3 linked regions of the Drosophila melanogaster genome follow. The protein of the gene in region 1 purifies or fractionates together with the protein of each later gene. This does not show direct contact. Each region holds a gene or a part of one and is shown in the gene's direction. Other genes may lie near its edges.

Region 1 (5,010 bases):
GCTAGCGACGAAATACTTAGTCCCTTTTGGCGCGAGCGGAGACGGCAACCACGGTTCGCGGCACGGGTTGTGGTGTGCAGGGACTCCAACCCAGTAGGGGTATTCCACCGTAGGCCATTACTTTCAGCTATTTTTAAAATTTTACAATTAAATGCAGCAGAATGTTTAATCAATGTAAATATTGAATATAACTAAATATATTAATAATGTACTATTTTGTAAATATATCGTCAGCAATACTTCCATTTGGCTTCACATCCCATTTTAATATATGCATTTTTAATTTCATTTATAGTCCAGTCATAACCAAATGAAATAATATAGATGTTTCTTTTTTCATGCCATATATGCATTTATATTTCATGACAAATTAAATTAAAGCCCATTGAACAATTTATTTTAACGCAGTTCAGTTGATTCATTATGATAGAATTATACTTCGCTCAAAACTAATTAAATGAAAACCGTTTGCTTCAAATAATGACATTTAAATTCACTTAAATAAATTTCTTTAATATATCTTTAACAACATGCCATTTCCTAGCTCTCCATTTAAACTTCTTTCAAATAGCAAATATAAAATTGAATCACAACTTCTGTCTTGAATAATTTTATTTTAATTCAGTTGTTGTTTGCATGAGTTGCTCTTGAAACAATCTGTTTTCATAAATAAGTGTAAATATGTTAGTTGTAGGCCACAAGAAGACCCTTGGCCACCTCCTGGACTTTCTCCTTGCCCGCCAGCTCCTCGGCGATTTTGAGGGCGAACTCGTAGGCGGTGCCAGGACCTCGACTGGTGATCAGATTGCCATCCTTGACCACCGTCTTGTCGTCCACATAGCTTAAAGAAATAATCAAAAGAAATGGGATGAAGATCATGGGAAAATAAACTTAAGAGGTGGTATACCTATAGTTATTCACCAGCTGGGGCTTCATTGAGGGATACGAGGTGAGGGATTTCCCGGAGGCGACGCCGTGCTTGGCCAAAACGGTGGGCGCGGCACAGATGGCGGCGATGAGTCCGCCACCAGACTCCTGGCTGCGCAGCAAGTCACCGACCAGCGAGGACTCCCCCATGGCATTGGAGCCACCCAGTCCGCCGGGCAGCACCACCACATCGAACTTATCCGAGGCAACCTGGGCCAGCGAGGTGTCCGGCAGGATCTGCACATCCCGCGAGCACTTCACCGCTTCCCCGCCATTCAAACCGGCTACGGTGACCTTGATCTATCATATAGTAAGTATAAGTATAGAACAGAGTGATTTAATGGAAAGGTTGAGAGCACTTACGCCCGCCCTTCTCAGAACGTCGGCGGCTATGATGAACTCCATCTCCTCCGCTCCGGGAGCCAAAATCACCAGCGCGCTTTTCGACATCTTGGTAAACTTAGAAAAGTGCCTTGAAATTTGAGGAAATCCAAAGAAAACCATGCAGATACGATAGCTTATCGATAGCGCTGTTCTGGAACGCAGCTTTGAGTTTTCCTTATCGAGGTTTCAAAAACTGAGCGGCAAACTAAAACACTTGTATAATTTGGTTTGACTTGCAGTTAGGCGACTAATTTGATGCATTTAAAACTTCTGTTTTTCACAGGAAGTTAATATTTTCATTCTTACTCAAAACAATGTTCTGCATTATATTTTAAAATATTAAGACTTTGAAATCAGTTGATTTTATTTATATGAGAAAAGGATTGCGTCTATGCTACGTGCTACACAGAAATGGTTTGAAACCTCATTAACAATTCTAACAAGTCTTGTTCTTTAAGTTAAAACCGATAACATTTACTTGCTCTCTATATTCTGTCGTATTACATAAATTTATATAAACTGATCACTGAAATATTTTTATATTTGTTTTCAGTATAATATCGATGTTTATATACCACGGTCAAATCCTATCGATACCTGATGTGGTTGCCAGACCAAGTACAGCTGCTCCTCCCTAGATCTCTGTCTATCGATATCGGTCTATCGATATGTGAACATATCTAGCACGACGGCAGCAACAAAACCACGAATTAATTTTACTAAATTTAAGCCAAACGCGCATCGGAAATGCCTGAAAAATGCGATTGAATGCACGCGAAAAGTGATGGGTTGCGAACGCGAGTGAATCAAGTGAAAATACGTCGGCAAATATCAGCGAATTGTCGTCAAAAGGCAAGGAAAAACGGAGAAAAAGAGGAAAAGCAATAAGTGCCGTGTGTGGGAAACGCGAAAAAGGCGAGAACAAAGAGGCGAAAAGCGAGGAAATTGCGTGGAAAACGTGGAAAACGCGAAGAAGGTAATTGCGGAAAATGCCTGGTGAAAATGCAACGTTTGCAGCTGGAATTTGCGTATCTTCCAGTCCAAAAAGAAAATGCAATATCTGTTGAATGTGTGCGAGTGTGTGTGTGTGTAAGCCAGTGCGTGTGTGGCTGCGCTGGTGTGCGCCCCATGTGTGTGTTGGTGTGCATTTCCAATTGCCTGTGTGGAAAAGCAAGGAAAACTGCACGGAAAACGCACGAAAAGCAATCAAAAATGTGCGGAAAAGTGCCTGAAAACGAAATGCGAAGCACACACACAAATGCAACAGGCTGTATTTACATATTTCGCTCTCGCTCTCTCGTGGAATAAATCAGTACGGCTGCGTGCGAGTGTGTGTGTGTGGGGGAGAACGGAGGAGACAAAGAGAGCGAGCGAGAGGTTGCTACACAAATCGGATTAAATTCTTCTGTCTTCCCTCTCTTTCTGGCGGAGGGTACTGGTGTCCATGGAAAACTATCAATCTCGTAGAATTTTTAACTTTATTCCAGTGTAATTTCGAATGCCAACGACATTAGGCAAGGTCAATGTATGCACGCACTTTTCTCGGTTTTCCCGTTTCCTCTTACCATTTTCCAACTGAAACAGCGCTTAATTGGCTGCGATATTCGTGTGTCGAAAGAATTACAAATTCGAGAAATCAACAAGACATTAAACAACGAAAACTGAGAGTAGTACAATTAGAGTAACAGCAATAACAATAATAATAGTGGTAATTGCGGGAATACAAGGAAAACATGGCGAAAACGGAGCAAGATTTGAATACAGTGAAGATCTACTAAAAGAAACTGCGAGGACTATTGTAGAATTGTGATATTTACTATAAAGGAAACTTTTGAATCATTGCAATTTGAAACTATGAAAATATTCCAGTTAGAAACAAATTTAATTTTCATATTTGATGGACTTAAGCAAAAAGAATGAGTCATACACAAATATCTAATAATCACAAAATGCTACTTTGATATGTAACAATAACCCCCACATATGGATATGAAATGGAAGAGCATATTCTTCATTAACCCACATAGGCAGAAGCCACTGTAGTCATAGCAGAGATCAACTTTGTGACAGTATGCGCGGTGTTGATGCAACCGTGGGCAGCAGCTGCCTCCGATTTGCATGTGACTAGAGTACACAATCAACGGAATGGGGAAAATCCGCGGGAGCAGAACAGTAAATGCACAGACGCAAGATGCAAATGCGAAATGTGGCACAAGTAACTGCGGCCCATTGTAATTTGTAATTAGAGGCAGCGCCGCCACTTCAATGTCAGTGCGACAATAATTTCTCAGGCGGCCCGTTTGTGCTCGCGAAAAAGCAAAAGCACGAAACACGAAGCACAAAGCAAGAAACGAAGGGGCGGGACATCGAGACCTCATCCTTTGTGGAGGCAGCCAGCCGAAAATTCATAAACTTAATTGCAATGAGATGCAGAATGTGTGTGACACAGCTATCTGTAGTTTGAATACTCTTTAGTAGCTAAAACTAGCAGCAACTTTATTGAATGGTTTTATACTTGCCATCAAAAGCAGACTTCAGTTCTACATACACTATTTTGTATAGAATGGAAGTAAACCATCGATTCTCTATCGGATTTCCAAATATTATGGTACACAGCTATGATATAAACAAGCCCACAAAACTTGCAACTGAAATCGAAGCTAAAGTCCAAAAAAACGACTCCGAAATGTGCAAAACTTTGTTGTTGCAGTCACTAGTGGGACGGACTACTACTATTACTACTACTACTACTGCTACTATTGTTGTTTTTGTGCTTGTTGGCGATGTTGCGATTGTTGTTTTTGCTTAAAACCAGCAAACAGCGGCGTCATCGTCAGCGACGCTGGAAAATCGCTGGGATTCCATTCACATTCCAGCATGCAATTCGCAGTGGATTATGTGAGTGTGTTGTTGTTTGTTGCTGCCTTTGTTGTAGCTGTTGTTGTAGTTGTGATAGTTGTTGTTGCTGCTGGAACAGGTGAGGCTCCATTGGCGTCGATCGTGTGCATTCCACAGAGCACACAGAGACACACACACACACGCGCGCGCATATAGCCAACGAGCAGAGAGCAGGGCAATAAATACCAATACAGTGGGCTGTTTTTGCTGTTGTTGCTCGCTTTTAAAAGTAAATGAACGATAAAACAAGAAAAGGAAGAGGAAGTTTGGCGCGGGGATTGTGACGACCATAGGGATACCCCGCAGAAAGTGTAGAACGCAATGGAGCATAGTGCTATATGGATTCCAGTGTAATCTTTAAACGATTAAACTCTTTTCAATGAAATGATTTTTGATACAAATAAAGTTAACGGATACTGAGCATCCTAGTTCCTAAGTCACATTGAAGAATTTTAGGCTATTTTCCCAAAGACCGTATATCCTAAGCTTGTGAGGGTGTTCGCTGATCTTGGGCTAATCCCAATGAAAATCCCCAACCCCCTGGAATTTTCCGCACCCCTTCTGCGCCCCTGTTTCGTTGCAATGCAAGTCGAGCGATGTTGACGACGAAAATGCAATTTAGCTCGTTTTTCTTGCTTGCTTCGATCCCCGCCCCCTTTTTGCCGACCACCTCCAGAGAGTGTGTGTGTGTGTTTGTGTGAGAGAGTGTATGAAAAAAGGGAAAACGAAACGAAAACAGAGAGATGGAGAGCGAGCGGGAGAAAGAGAGCAAGAGCAAAGGCGACCCAGCAGCAGCCGCCG
Region 2 (4,687 bases), on another chromosome or scaffold:
TAGGCTTCTGACAGTAGAACCAGTTCCTGGTGAGTTTGCCTTGGTACCGCTTGGATTTTTCAGTTTTAATATTGTGACTACTTTTGCACTGATATCAGAGTTTCTTTTAGTATTTCCAATAAACTTATATGTTTCTGTCAGCTGAACATTTTCAATTAAGTGGTTTACAATCCTGGACTCCTTTATATAGTTTGCCTGCAACAGCAGGCTAGACGTAATGCCAGCTTTTTCGTTAACTTTGCCGGACACCAAGCCACTGTTTATCTGCTCGCGATGCGAACAGCTGTTTAAGTTCCGCGCCTTCGTAATTATATTTGCGTTACCCACTTTCGATGTTGATGTATGTGTAGGGCACATGCCGAAAACGTCAACCTCATGTTCCGCTTCTATTCCCGATTGAAGCAATGATACAACTGCGCGCTTAATATTCAAAGAGTAGTCCAAGTCGCTGGAGTCTGAGCAAATTTGTGGCTCTAAAATTCCACTTACCAGTGTAAACTGAACTGGCTTCTGAATGCTGTTCAATATCTTTTTCTCCACAGACTCTTTTGTATTAGTTACCTTAACGGAACTTAACTGTAATGTGTACCCACAGTTTCCTTTCGCAAAAATTTTTGCAGATCCGGACACTTTAAGACTTGTATCATCTGAGTCGTTCGGAACGTCGCTACTCGCTCCAATAGTTAAAATACTGTCGAAGGAATAGTCATAGTAGTTGCCGGGTATGTACTTCAAAAGTCCATTGTCAGCTGTGGCATAAAATTGTTTAGTATATAAATACATACTTTTTTTGTATTACTTACATTTTGGACATCCTAGATTGCAAGCGTTTTCTAAAATTAAAAAGAAAATGTTTGTATAGAATGAATTAAGGAAAAGTAATCTCCAAGTCGCCAAATAAATATTAGTATCACCAGAAAGAATTTTAAAATTTGGGTTCCCCCTTTACCACTTATGTATTTACCTGAACCATCTATAAGGTCTATAAATCGTTATCAATGATTTTGAGTTTTAAAGGTGCAATGTCCTCTAATTTTATATGTTTTGATTGATGGGACTCAAACGATTTTTATGAAATATATGATTTTTTAACGGAGCTATTGGCAAAAGAATTTCTCTTGCTATCCGTTTTTAACAATTTACTGAAAAAGAATCCAGTTGGACATTGCGGTTTAACTGGCAAAAACAGCATTTGTCAAACTTTGATTTTTTTTTTTTTTTTTTGAATATTCCAAATCCTTATAACTTTGACTTTTTTGGAGCAAATTTGAAGTTTTGTATTCTAATAAATTTTATAGTATTATAGTCAATATAATATAAAAAGTGTAATTTTGTAAAGTAGAGAAAATCATTCATAATTAAATCTCCTGTAAGAGATTTAAGTAGTTAAACCATGTTTTTACACGATCGGCTCATTTATTTTTGATTTAGTTTACATAATCTATATCATTCGATAAAAATCAAGATTTCAATAATTTATGGTTAGCTTAACTTGTAGCACTTACCAGCATTTACAGCAATTGTTAAAAGCACAGAAGCTAGGATTCCAATCAAAGCGATATTGTATTTCATCCTGGCCATTACGCTGGGCCCCTTAGGGATAGCCTGGGAATAGCAAACGCCACAATTTGTATCACATTTTTATTTTACTACATGTATTTTTTACCTTTACCAACACTGGTCCAATTTCACTTTGTATATACTTCTTAGATTAAGAAACACACAGACCATCCGCGAATTAAACCGATTCGAATACAATGAACGTTGTCTACGAATTAAGCCGGATTACGTGAAAACACTCACTTTAAATACCTCAAATAAATCAAGAACTCACACATCTACAATTGTGCCACATAGTATTTAAGTGTATGTCTTGTAAATAAATACAAATACAGCGAAACAAGTACAGATGAAGACACATTGTGAGAGACATGCATTTAAACGATTCTTTATCACCAGCGATGGGTGCTCAGGCCAAAGCCGAGTGTATTTAATATAATCTCATTATAATCGGACTTCGACATACTCGACCCTAGCTTAGTACCTTTACCTACTCTCAATTTTCATCTAATACATAAGACAAAAATAAAATAAAGAATAATTAAATATAGATATAATTAAATAAAAATATATCGCTTTGCATAATACGTGCTCAACTTACAATGGCTGATATAAAATATAGAATATATAGAAAATGTAGACGCTATAGTACCATTTCCCGTCTTTCACCTACATTTTCTCGATATACCAGTGGAAAATGACCAGAAAAATAATAACATGAAAAAAAATCACAAAATTTTTTTTAAGTGTGGGCGTGACAGTGAGCGACGTAAAAATCGGTAGATTGTAAAATCTGATTGATAAATCTGACTGATAACAAAAATGCAAAATATCAAACATTTTTCAAAAGTGTGGGCACGGACGGACATGCCCAGATCGATTTGGTAAGAAATCCTGCTCAAGTTTATATATATATATATATACTTTACAGGGTCGTTTATGCTTGCTTCTAAACTTGGTTGTTTTGGGTGACCACCCCCTTCTGGCCATCCTACCAGACCTATTATACCCAATTAAGCATTTTAATTTACACTTCACCGCATTTTCTGGCAAGCCATATGTTACCAAAACCACCCACAGTCTCCATTAAAAATGTAACTTAAAAGCAAATATTGTTCGAATCACTCTATTACTTTAGTAGTACAAAATCCTTTCATCTACCTTTTCAATATTTTAAATATGGCTTTGGGCTAATAAAGTAATAAACAAATCGCAAATTACGTTTTCCTCTTAAAGGTGTTGAAAACTGTAAGAAATGCAAAGTATAATTGTGATTATAAATGTTGAAAACTGATATTTATATACTTGACAGTCTCAAAAGTGTGTAAACTTGGAATTTGTTGTTTATTTTCTTGTATAATTAATATTTTTAATTCGTTTTTTGATTCATAAGTAAAATAAATATTGATTAATTATATTTTAGAAAAAAATTGCGTTTAATTTAAGCAAAGAACCCTTAGTTTTTACCTTTAAAGTCAAAAATTCAACTTATTTCACAGTGTGTAAACAGTTTCTTGACAAACTGTATGTGCAAATAAGAAAACTAGTTGTAACTCTAAAGCAATTATGTTTTATGTATAGGTATTGAGAAATTCGATGTAACAATTGTTATCATTCCAAATTTAATGTGAATGCGCAAGTACACACATACATACATACATATATGCATTTGCAGAGATTGTCACTTGCAATCCATGTTTGCACACATCTGTAATGGAATTTGTTATACATTTTTATGCCCTTTTTTCATATAGATGAAAGTATGCTTACAAATGCAAGCATAGGTACATAGGTATTTAAAATATGCATACACATATTTACACATGTATATTTATTTGATTTTGAACAGATGTATAAAATATGTTTATATGAAAGTTCGTTCCTGAATTGCAGTTAACGACTGATAAGAAACTTTAATCTGTAATTAAAAGTTGCTGGAAAGCAAAACGCTGCTCGATAAGCACGCAGAAAGGCAGCCTGCGTGATCGGACAGAAAAAATTACAGTTCGAAAGAAGTTTACTCTTGTATTGTTCCCGGTTAGTAAATAAATCATCGTAAACGGAAGTCCACGCTTTGAAGATGATCACTAATAGTGCGTTGTGACAGCAGGAGACCACTGTTTAGAAGCGTAGAATAGGATGTCAGTTACGATTGTCTGATTACAACCATTTAAATCTTTTTTCTTTAACCATTAAAAAGTTAGATTACCGTGCCCACATTTTCTGAAAAGATTCCGCTGATGAATTGAGCTCTATGGCCGTACATATGTGAAGTGATTCCAAGTCAGCTTCCTTTTAAAAGTGCACCTTTCATGATAGATTTCCCATATTTAGGGTTTTTATACCACTTGACTAAAAAGGTATTTGATTAATTAATAATTATTTTGGCTCCTAATTATGTGGCTCCTTAGAAATCGGTCATTCCCCTATCCTTTACAATACTCCTCCACCGAGCTTAATTTCGCTTCGATTGGGCCAAACAATTAGACGATTGGGTGTGGTGTTCAAAAATATGGATATCGTTATGGTACTTATTTACAAGCAACTGTGGTTTGCAATCATTTTTATATTAACGAGGAACTTTATTCAATGAAATTAATATTTATATTCAGACCTCCACGGTATTTAATGTGAATTTCTTACATGAAGATAAGAAGAGAACAGAATTTTCTTCTTGAATATGAAGTAATATGACTTCGCATTTACATTTACATTTATTAGCAAATTAGCTGAACCAAATATCACGAAAAAATAAATTGAAAGAGCCGCACCAGATTTAATTTATTTTAAAATTCCTTTGTCTGGGAGAAGAACAAAAATGCAATTTCGGATGATGTTGAAACGAGATTTATTTCATAAAGTTAACTTATAAATATTTTTAATAACAGTGGTCGAGTGAGCGAATTTATCGGAAGCCACCTACATGACAGCCATTTGTTTTGTTTGGGCCCAAAGGAAATATTATAAAAATTTGAGTTAAAAATTTGTTCAGGGGTTTATCAATTATTGATCAGTTTCTGGAAAGCGGTGGAGTCGATATCGCCGTTCATCGTCTGTTTTGCCATCCGTTCGCTTCTACACAAACTTGTCTCACTAATTATCCCTGAATGAAACTTTCCCATAAAGT
Region 3 (6,104 bases), on another chromosome or scaffold:
TCCTGCCGCTCTTCGAGGCGACAGCCCGACCCAGTAAGCATCCCGAGTTGCATCGCTTTCTGCAGTACGTGATCGGATTCGATTCGGTGGACGATGAGTCCAAGCCGGAGAATCCGCTCTTCGACAACGATGTGCCACGTCCGGAGGAGTGGACCTACGAGGAGAATCCGCCCTATGCCTACTATATCTACTATATGTACGCCAACATGACGGTGCTGAACAAGTTTAGACAGTGCGTAGAAGTATATTGATATGTATATATATCATTGATTAACCCACTGTTACCTTTGATACATCAGATCTCGCAATATGAACACCTTTGTGCTGCGGCCCCATTGCGGCGAGGCTGGACCCGTGCAGCATCTGGTTTGCGGCTTCCTCATGGCCGAGAACATCTCCCACGGCCTCCTGTTGCGCAAAGTGCCCGTGCTGCAGTATCTGTATTATCTGACCCAGATTGGCATCGCCATGTCGCCGCTGTCGAACAACTCCCTGTTCCTCAACTATCATCGCAATCCGCTGCCAGAGTATTTGGCCCGTGGCCTCATCATTTCCCTCTCCACGGATGATCCCTTGCAATTCCACTTCACCAAGGTGGGCTAGACAATATATGCTTTAATATTCAGCATTAAATTAACCCATGTCCGCTTTTCAGGAACCCCTCATGGAGGAGTACAGCATTGCGGCACAGGTGTGGAAGCTCAGCTCATGCGACATGTGCGAGCTGGCCAGGAACAGTGTGATGATGAGCGGATTCCCACATGCCGTGAGTTCCAAGCATGCTTTCTGCTTTATGTTCGGACAAATGATTCCAATTCCGATTTCATCCACAGATCAAACAGCAGTGGCTGGGACCCATCTATTACGAGGACGGTATCATGGGCAACGACATCACGCGCACCAATGTGCCAGAGATCCGTGTGGCCTATCGCTATGAGACACTGCTGGACGAGCTGTCCAACATCTTCAAGGTGAACCAGACGTGCTCCATTGCAGACATGAACGCCACATAGTCTGGTCCATGCGGTACATCTGCTCCATCGCGTTGTTGTGGCTTCCTATGCTAACTTAATGCAAATTACGCAGATATATACGCTAGTTATATACATAATTTAAATGTTTCTGTACTAACCAAAATGTAAACGCGGCAGACCAAAACCTTTAAATATACAAAACTTGTACACGAAACTTCCATTCATTCAACTTTTATTTAAAAATAATCATAAGGTAAATAATATATAAATATAAATAATAATATATTTCGAGCTATGGGATCTAAAATTGTAGTTTTGGCTAACCTTTTGGGTTCAAAAGTAAAAATAGTGGATATAAGTTAAAAACTCAAGAAGAGTAATATTAAAATTTCAATGTTTGAAATTTAGACCTCAAATATTTCAAAATCCCGACTTTAAATGGATTAAAATTATTGCAAGCTAAAAAAATAACTAAGTGGAATTGTAATTAAATTTACAATTTTAAATAATAACGTTGCTAGATTAAAAAAAAAAAAACAATGTAATGCAATGCAATATGTATTTGATATTTTAGAGTGGCCCTTTTGAGCTGCAGTATATTTTGTGGTATATTCGCCTGCCTGCCGGACAGTATATTATAAACGTAACCCGCGGCGGTCACACTTAACTGTACGAATTTTTTGATATTCCAATGCAGGCGCACAAAGAAAATGCAGAAAAGCTGATAGAATAAAGGAAAAGCCGACTGACTGATTGCCAACTAGCCGAGCACAGTTAGCTAAGGTCTTTTCCGACCGGGAAAAGCGAGCCAATCGTTGATTTCGGGGCGGCGTCCCCCCCGCAGAGCGAGACAGCAAGTGTGGCGAGGGAGTAGGAGAGACGGAAGAAGAAGACGATAAGGAGGAGGAGCAGGATCTGGTGGATAAATATACATATATCAAAAGACAGAATGACCACCCAGCGGACGCAGACGCAGGCGAGGAATCCCGGCAACTCCGATTCCGACTATGAGACACTGATGCAGCGTCTTCACATCGGTGGGGGAGGTGGTGCTGGTGTTGGAGGAGGGGGCGGCAGTGGTGGCCCTGGAGACGGGGGCGTGGCCATGCGAAGCTACCAGCGCTCACCGGGCGCCATTGAGAACTACCTGCAGGAAAGTCAGCAGCAACAGCAGCAACATCAGATGCAGCAAATGCAGCAACTCCATCACAATCAGGACTATAAGCTGTACGAGCGCGGCAACATCATTGCCGCCTCCAAATACGCCACGCCCCGTCCGGTGGAGCAGATACAGCACACGCACAACGGAAGTGCACAAATCTATGCACCGACCGCACAGATTCTGGGCCAGCGGATTGCACCGCAGAAGCATTCGCCGGTATATGAGAACTTGGAGTTCTACGGTCAATTCGATTCAAACCACAAGAGGGCTCAGCCTCAAAGTCCCGGGAGCAGGCAGAGCGCCATATTGAACGGCTATCTGCTGATGCAGCCCATTCGGGCTGGGCGCTTTGCACACACGCCGGTGCCAGAGAATCAAGGATCTGCATCGTTGGGAACGACCAGAGCAGCAGGAGGACCACCACCACCATCGGGACGTTCTGCTGCTTTGGGTCCAACTGGCGATCTGGAGGAGCATGCTGCGCCCATATACGAGAACATCATTCCACACTCTGGCCAGCGGGCACAGCCACAGGCCTCGCCGGCCACCGCCACCATGTATCAGGAGATGCAGCCCACGTCCAACTCCTCAGGCAGTTCGTCCACCGCCGGTCTGGATCTCAATGCGCTGCTGGCCTCGCCCATGCACCAGCGAAGCATTAGCAGCAACACGGCCAGTTCTAGCTCCTTGGGATCGCCAACGCAACGATATAGGAATCTATCGTTACCTAGCCACCTAAGTCCCGTACCCACCGCGCAGTCGGTGGCCAAACTGCAGCAGCACACGCCCGTTAAGTCGCCCGGCGGCGCCATTAATGTCTCCGTTAATCCTAACTATATAGAGGACATCAATAGCTCTGACTACGTTTGCATGACGGCGAATCTGCACAGGAATACGGCAGCAGGATTGGCTACCGGCAGGGCGGCTGCAACGGGAGCCCCTGCCCAGCGAACTGTCCAGGAACCACCAATAATAACGTCATCACTGGCCATGGGCATGGCCACGGCAGCTCCACCAACCACATCCAATGCACCGACATCAGCAGCAGCGGCACCAGCAGCACCAACATCCACCGCTTCCTTGCGGGCGACGCCCATTGCGATGACGGCTCCTCTGGCGGTGGCCACATCACCCACTCCCTCGCAGGGCAGCACAGGTAAGCGACTGACGATCGTCTGTCCCCAAAATGGCGAATTACTTTAAGTGATGGAATAGATACTGCATCGCTTAGGTGGAGTACATGCTATATATAGTAAAGTGAACAAAAATTCTATCGATCCATTTAAAGATGCATGGTTACTTTACTAAACTAAAGCTATCATTTAAATATGGAATAATAATAAAAAGCACCTTCAACGTACTTTTTATTATACATAAACATGTATTTCGCCTAGCATGCAACATATTATAATATTTCAGTATCTATGTATGCATACTTTTGCCTACATGGATACATTCCATCACTAAACAACCATCAATTCGAGATTGTATTAATCAAACTAATGAATCCAAATGCTTCCCCCATCAAAAATGCTTGCACGCAGCCGTTAATGCTGCCTTGAAACCCAGGAGAGGTATGACGGGCTGAGCTTGGTTTCTCCAAAGGGGTTGGGTTCCGTTCGTGTCATCACTCATCGCTCAATCATAAACCGGTTGGCGGGGCGACAAACTTTGGTCAAACGGTTGCCGCTAACCGGTTTAATTTTAAGTCCTTTACCTGAACCGATTCAATGACAACCGAAACCGATTCGAATGCAATATCGTTCATTTTCATTTCACCATGATTGAAATTGCGATTTTATCGTTTAAACAAACAAATTTTTTATGTTTTGTCGATGGGAATTATAATTAGAAAAATATTATTATAATTTGATTTCATTTTTCATTCAAGAATTTGGCTTACACCGCGAATTTTTCAGCTTTTTTCCTGATTTATTTATTTCAATTATTTTCGTTTGTCCCAACAATGCGCCCGCATATTTATTTTTGTTTTTTCCTAACTAAGCTGACTAATCTTCACTTGGCCTTGCAAGCCAAGTCAATAGCATGACCTAATATCTACTCTGTACCGCCATCAGGTCTCACCAAGAATCTGCTACCGTATAGCGTCACCCCGCCGCGTCCGGCTGGCCCGACGGAGGCGCAGCGCAAGATCGAAGAGCTCACACGCCAGCTGGAGGAGGAGATCGAACAGAGCGAGGAGCACGGCGAATACTTTGGTGTGTATTTATTGTTAGCACTTAACCATAATATCTCTGACTCACAATAATATCGGTTACAATCACTAGGCATTTGTCACACATGCGGCGAGAAGGTGAAGGGTGCCGGGCAGGCTTGCCAGGCGATGGGCAATCTGTATCACACCAACTGCTTCATCTGCTGCTCCTGCGGACGGGCGCTGCGAGGCAAGGCGTTCTACAATGTGCATGGTCGGGTCTATTGCGAGGAGGATTACATGGTGAGAAGATAGTTGTAGTTGTAGTTTAGTCAGGACTGAAAAATATTGATATTCCCCGTAAAAACTCCTTTTCATTTTGAGAAAACACTTTCCCAACTGTATTGTGTTGTTTGAATTTTATTATATTTATGATTATAAATCGTTATTTTTGGTTACTGACGCAATTACCTTTTCATTTGCTTTGTTATGATTTCAACGCCATTAATTAATAATAATAAGAATTCACTCTTGCAGTACTCGGGCTTCCAGCAGACGGCGGAAAAGTGCGCCATCTGTGGCCATCTGATCATGGAAATGGTTCGTACTGCACCCCATTCGTTTCTATCCCACTCTAATTGGGCAACTTGTACTCACATTGACGTCGCTCTCGCTCTTTCCCTCTTGCAGATCTTGCAGGCCATGGGCAAGTCGTATCATCCGGGCTGCTTCCGGTGCTGTGTGTGCAATGAGTGCTTAGACGGGGTGCCCTTCACCGTGGACGTGGACCACAAGATCTACTGCGTCAACGACTACCATCGAATGTTTGCGCCCAAGTGCGCTAGCTGCGGCAAAGGTGGGTTCACAACTTCATTCCGAATAATACGTCAATGCTAATCTCGCAATCGTCGGCAATTCTCGGCAGGCATCACACCCGTCGAGGGCACCGACGAAACTGTGCGCGTCGTCTCGATGGACAAGGACTTCCACGTGGACTGCTACATCTGCGAGGAGTGCGGCATGCAGCTGACCGATGAGCCGGACAAACGCTGTTACCCGCTGGACGGGCGCCTGCTCTGCCGCGGTTGCCACCTGCAACGTCTGGCGCTGCAATCCTCGCCACACGCTCGTCATCAGGAGCCCGTCTGCGCTTCGTACCAGTATATGGGATAAGCGGAACGGAGTGTGGCTGGGAGAGGCGGCGCGGCGCAGACCGACCTTCCGACCTTCGACTGAGTGGCGCACAAAACCAGAACAAACTATCGCAATCAACTTATTCCAATTAACAATATTATCTTAAATAGACAGAAGTGAAAACAAATGCATTTATACGAAACGAGGGCCAAGCTAATGGCTTTTTTTTTTCTTCATTTTTATGGCAGTGTACTAGGATCTCGAAACGGATCTGTTAGAAACTATGTAATGGATTCCTAAAATCTCCGACAGTTGGCAGCCATTGTTGGCAATACTATTTTGATACAAGTATATTGATGTGTTCTTCATATGTATGTCCTGGGGTGTTCCTGAGACCTCTTGAGGTTTCAATGCAATAGCAAACGGTGTCTCAAATTATGCAATAAAATACTTAATACTTCTTATCTGAAAGTCTTTTGTGGATATTCCAGTGGGTTAGTGGCTTGTTGTGATACATACCATACATTCGGTTATTAAGTAGCGAAAATGCAAAATTTTAATTGTTTGCCTAAACCGTGAGTAATTAACATATACGTGTGACATTTTGAATTTTGTTTAGTTTTCTTATAACACATACATACAAAATATTTTCTTTTAAATTTTTCGAATGCTTAATGCT

Evidence for each region. Proteins that work in one complex are often made in the same cells at the same time.
Region 2: the proteins of wts (region 1) and Zyx purify together in Drosophila melanogaster (affinity purification with western blotting; one study listed by BioGRID). This does not show direct contact.
Region 3: the proteins of wts (region 1) and jub purify together in Drosophila melanogaster (affinity purification with western blotting; 4 studies listed by BioGRID). This does not show direct contact.

Annotation. Positions count from the first base shown.
Region 1 is NT_033777.3:30,803,565-30,808,574, reverse strand, and holds the start of wts (warts), read left to right. Parts: upstream 1-1,955; 5' UTR 1,956-2,287; intron 2,288-5,010. Other genes in the region: dj-1beta, read right to left, coding at 685-841, 908-1,227, 1,291-1,377. UniProt on the Drosophila melanogaster protein: Negative regulator of Yorkie (Yki) in the Hippo/SWH (Sav/Wts/Hpo) signaling pathway that plays a pivotal role in organ size control and tumor suppression by restricting proliferation and promoting apoptosis.
Region 2 is NC_004353.4:1,062,002-1,066,688, reverse strand, and holds the start of Zyx (zyxin), read left to right. Parts: upstream 1-1,687; 5' UTR 1,688-1,866; intron 1,867-2,307; 5' UTR 2,308-2,444; intron 2,445-3,769; exon of another isoform or gene 3,770-4,011; intron 4,012-4,687. Other genes in the region: apolpp (apolipophorin), read right to left, coding at 1-749, 804-833, 1,506-1,581.
Region 3 is NC_004354.4:13,825,830-13,831,933, reverse strand, and holds jub (ajuba LIM protein), read left to right. Parts: upstream 1-1,616; 5' UTR 1,617-1,923; coding exon 1,924-3,292; intron 3,293-3,680; coding exon 3,681-3,710; intron 3,711-4,214; coding exon 4,215-4,355; intron 4,356-4,424; coding exon 4,425-4,594; intron 4,595-4,813; coding exon of another isoform or gene 4,814-4,828; coding exon 4,829-4,891; intron 4,892-4,981; coding exon 4,982-5,147; intron 5,148-5,216; coding exon 5,217-5,464; 3' UTR 5,465-5,604; downstream 5,605-6,104. Other genes in the region: AMPdeam (AMP deaminase), read left to right, coding at 1-232, 300-594, 656-766, 834-1,013. UniProt on the Drosophila melanogaster protein: Regulates organ size by inhibiting apoptosis and promoting cell proliferation by influencing the expression of G1/S-specific cyclin-E (CycE) and apoptosis 1 inhibitor (th). Negatively regulates the Hippo signaling pathway.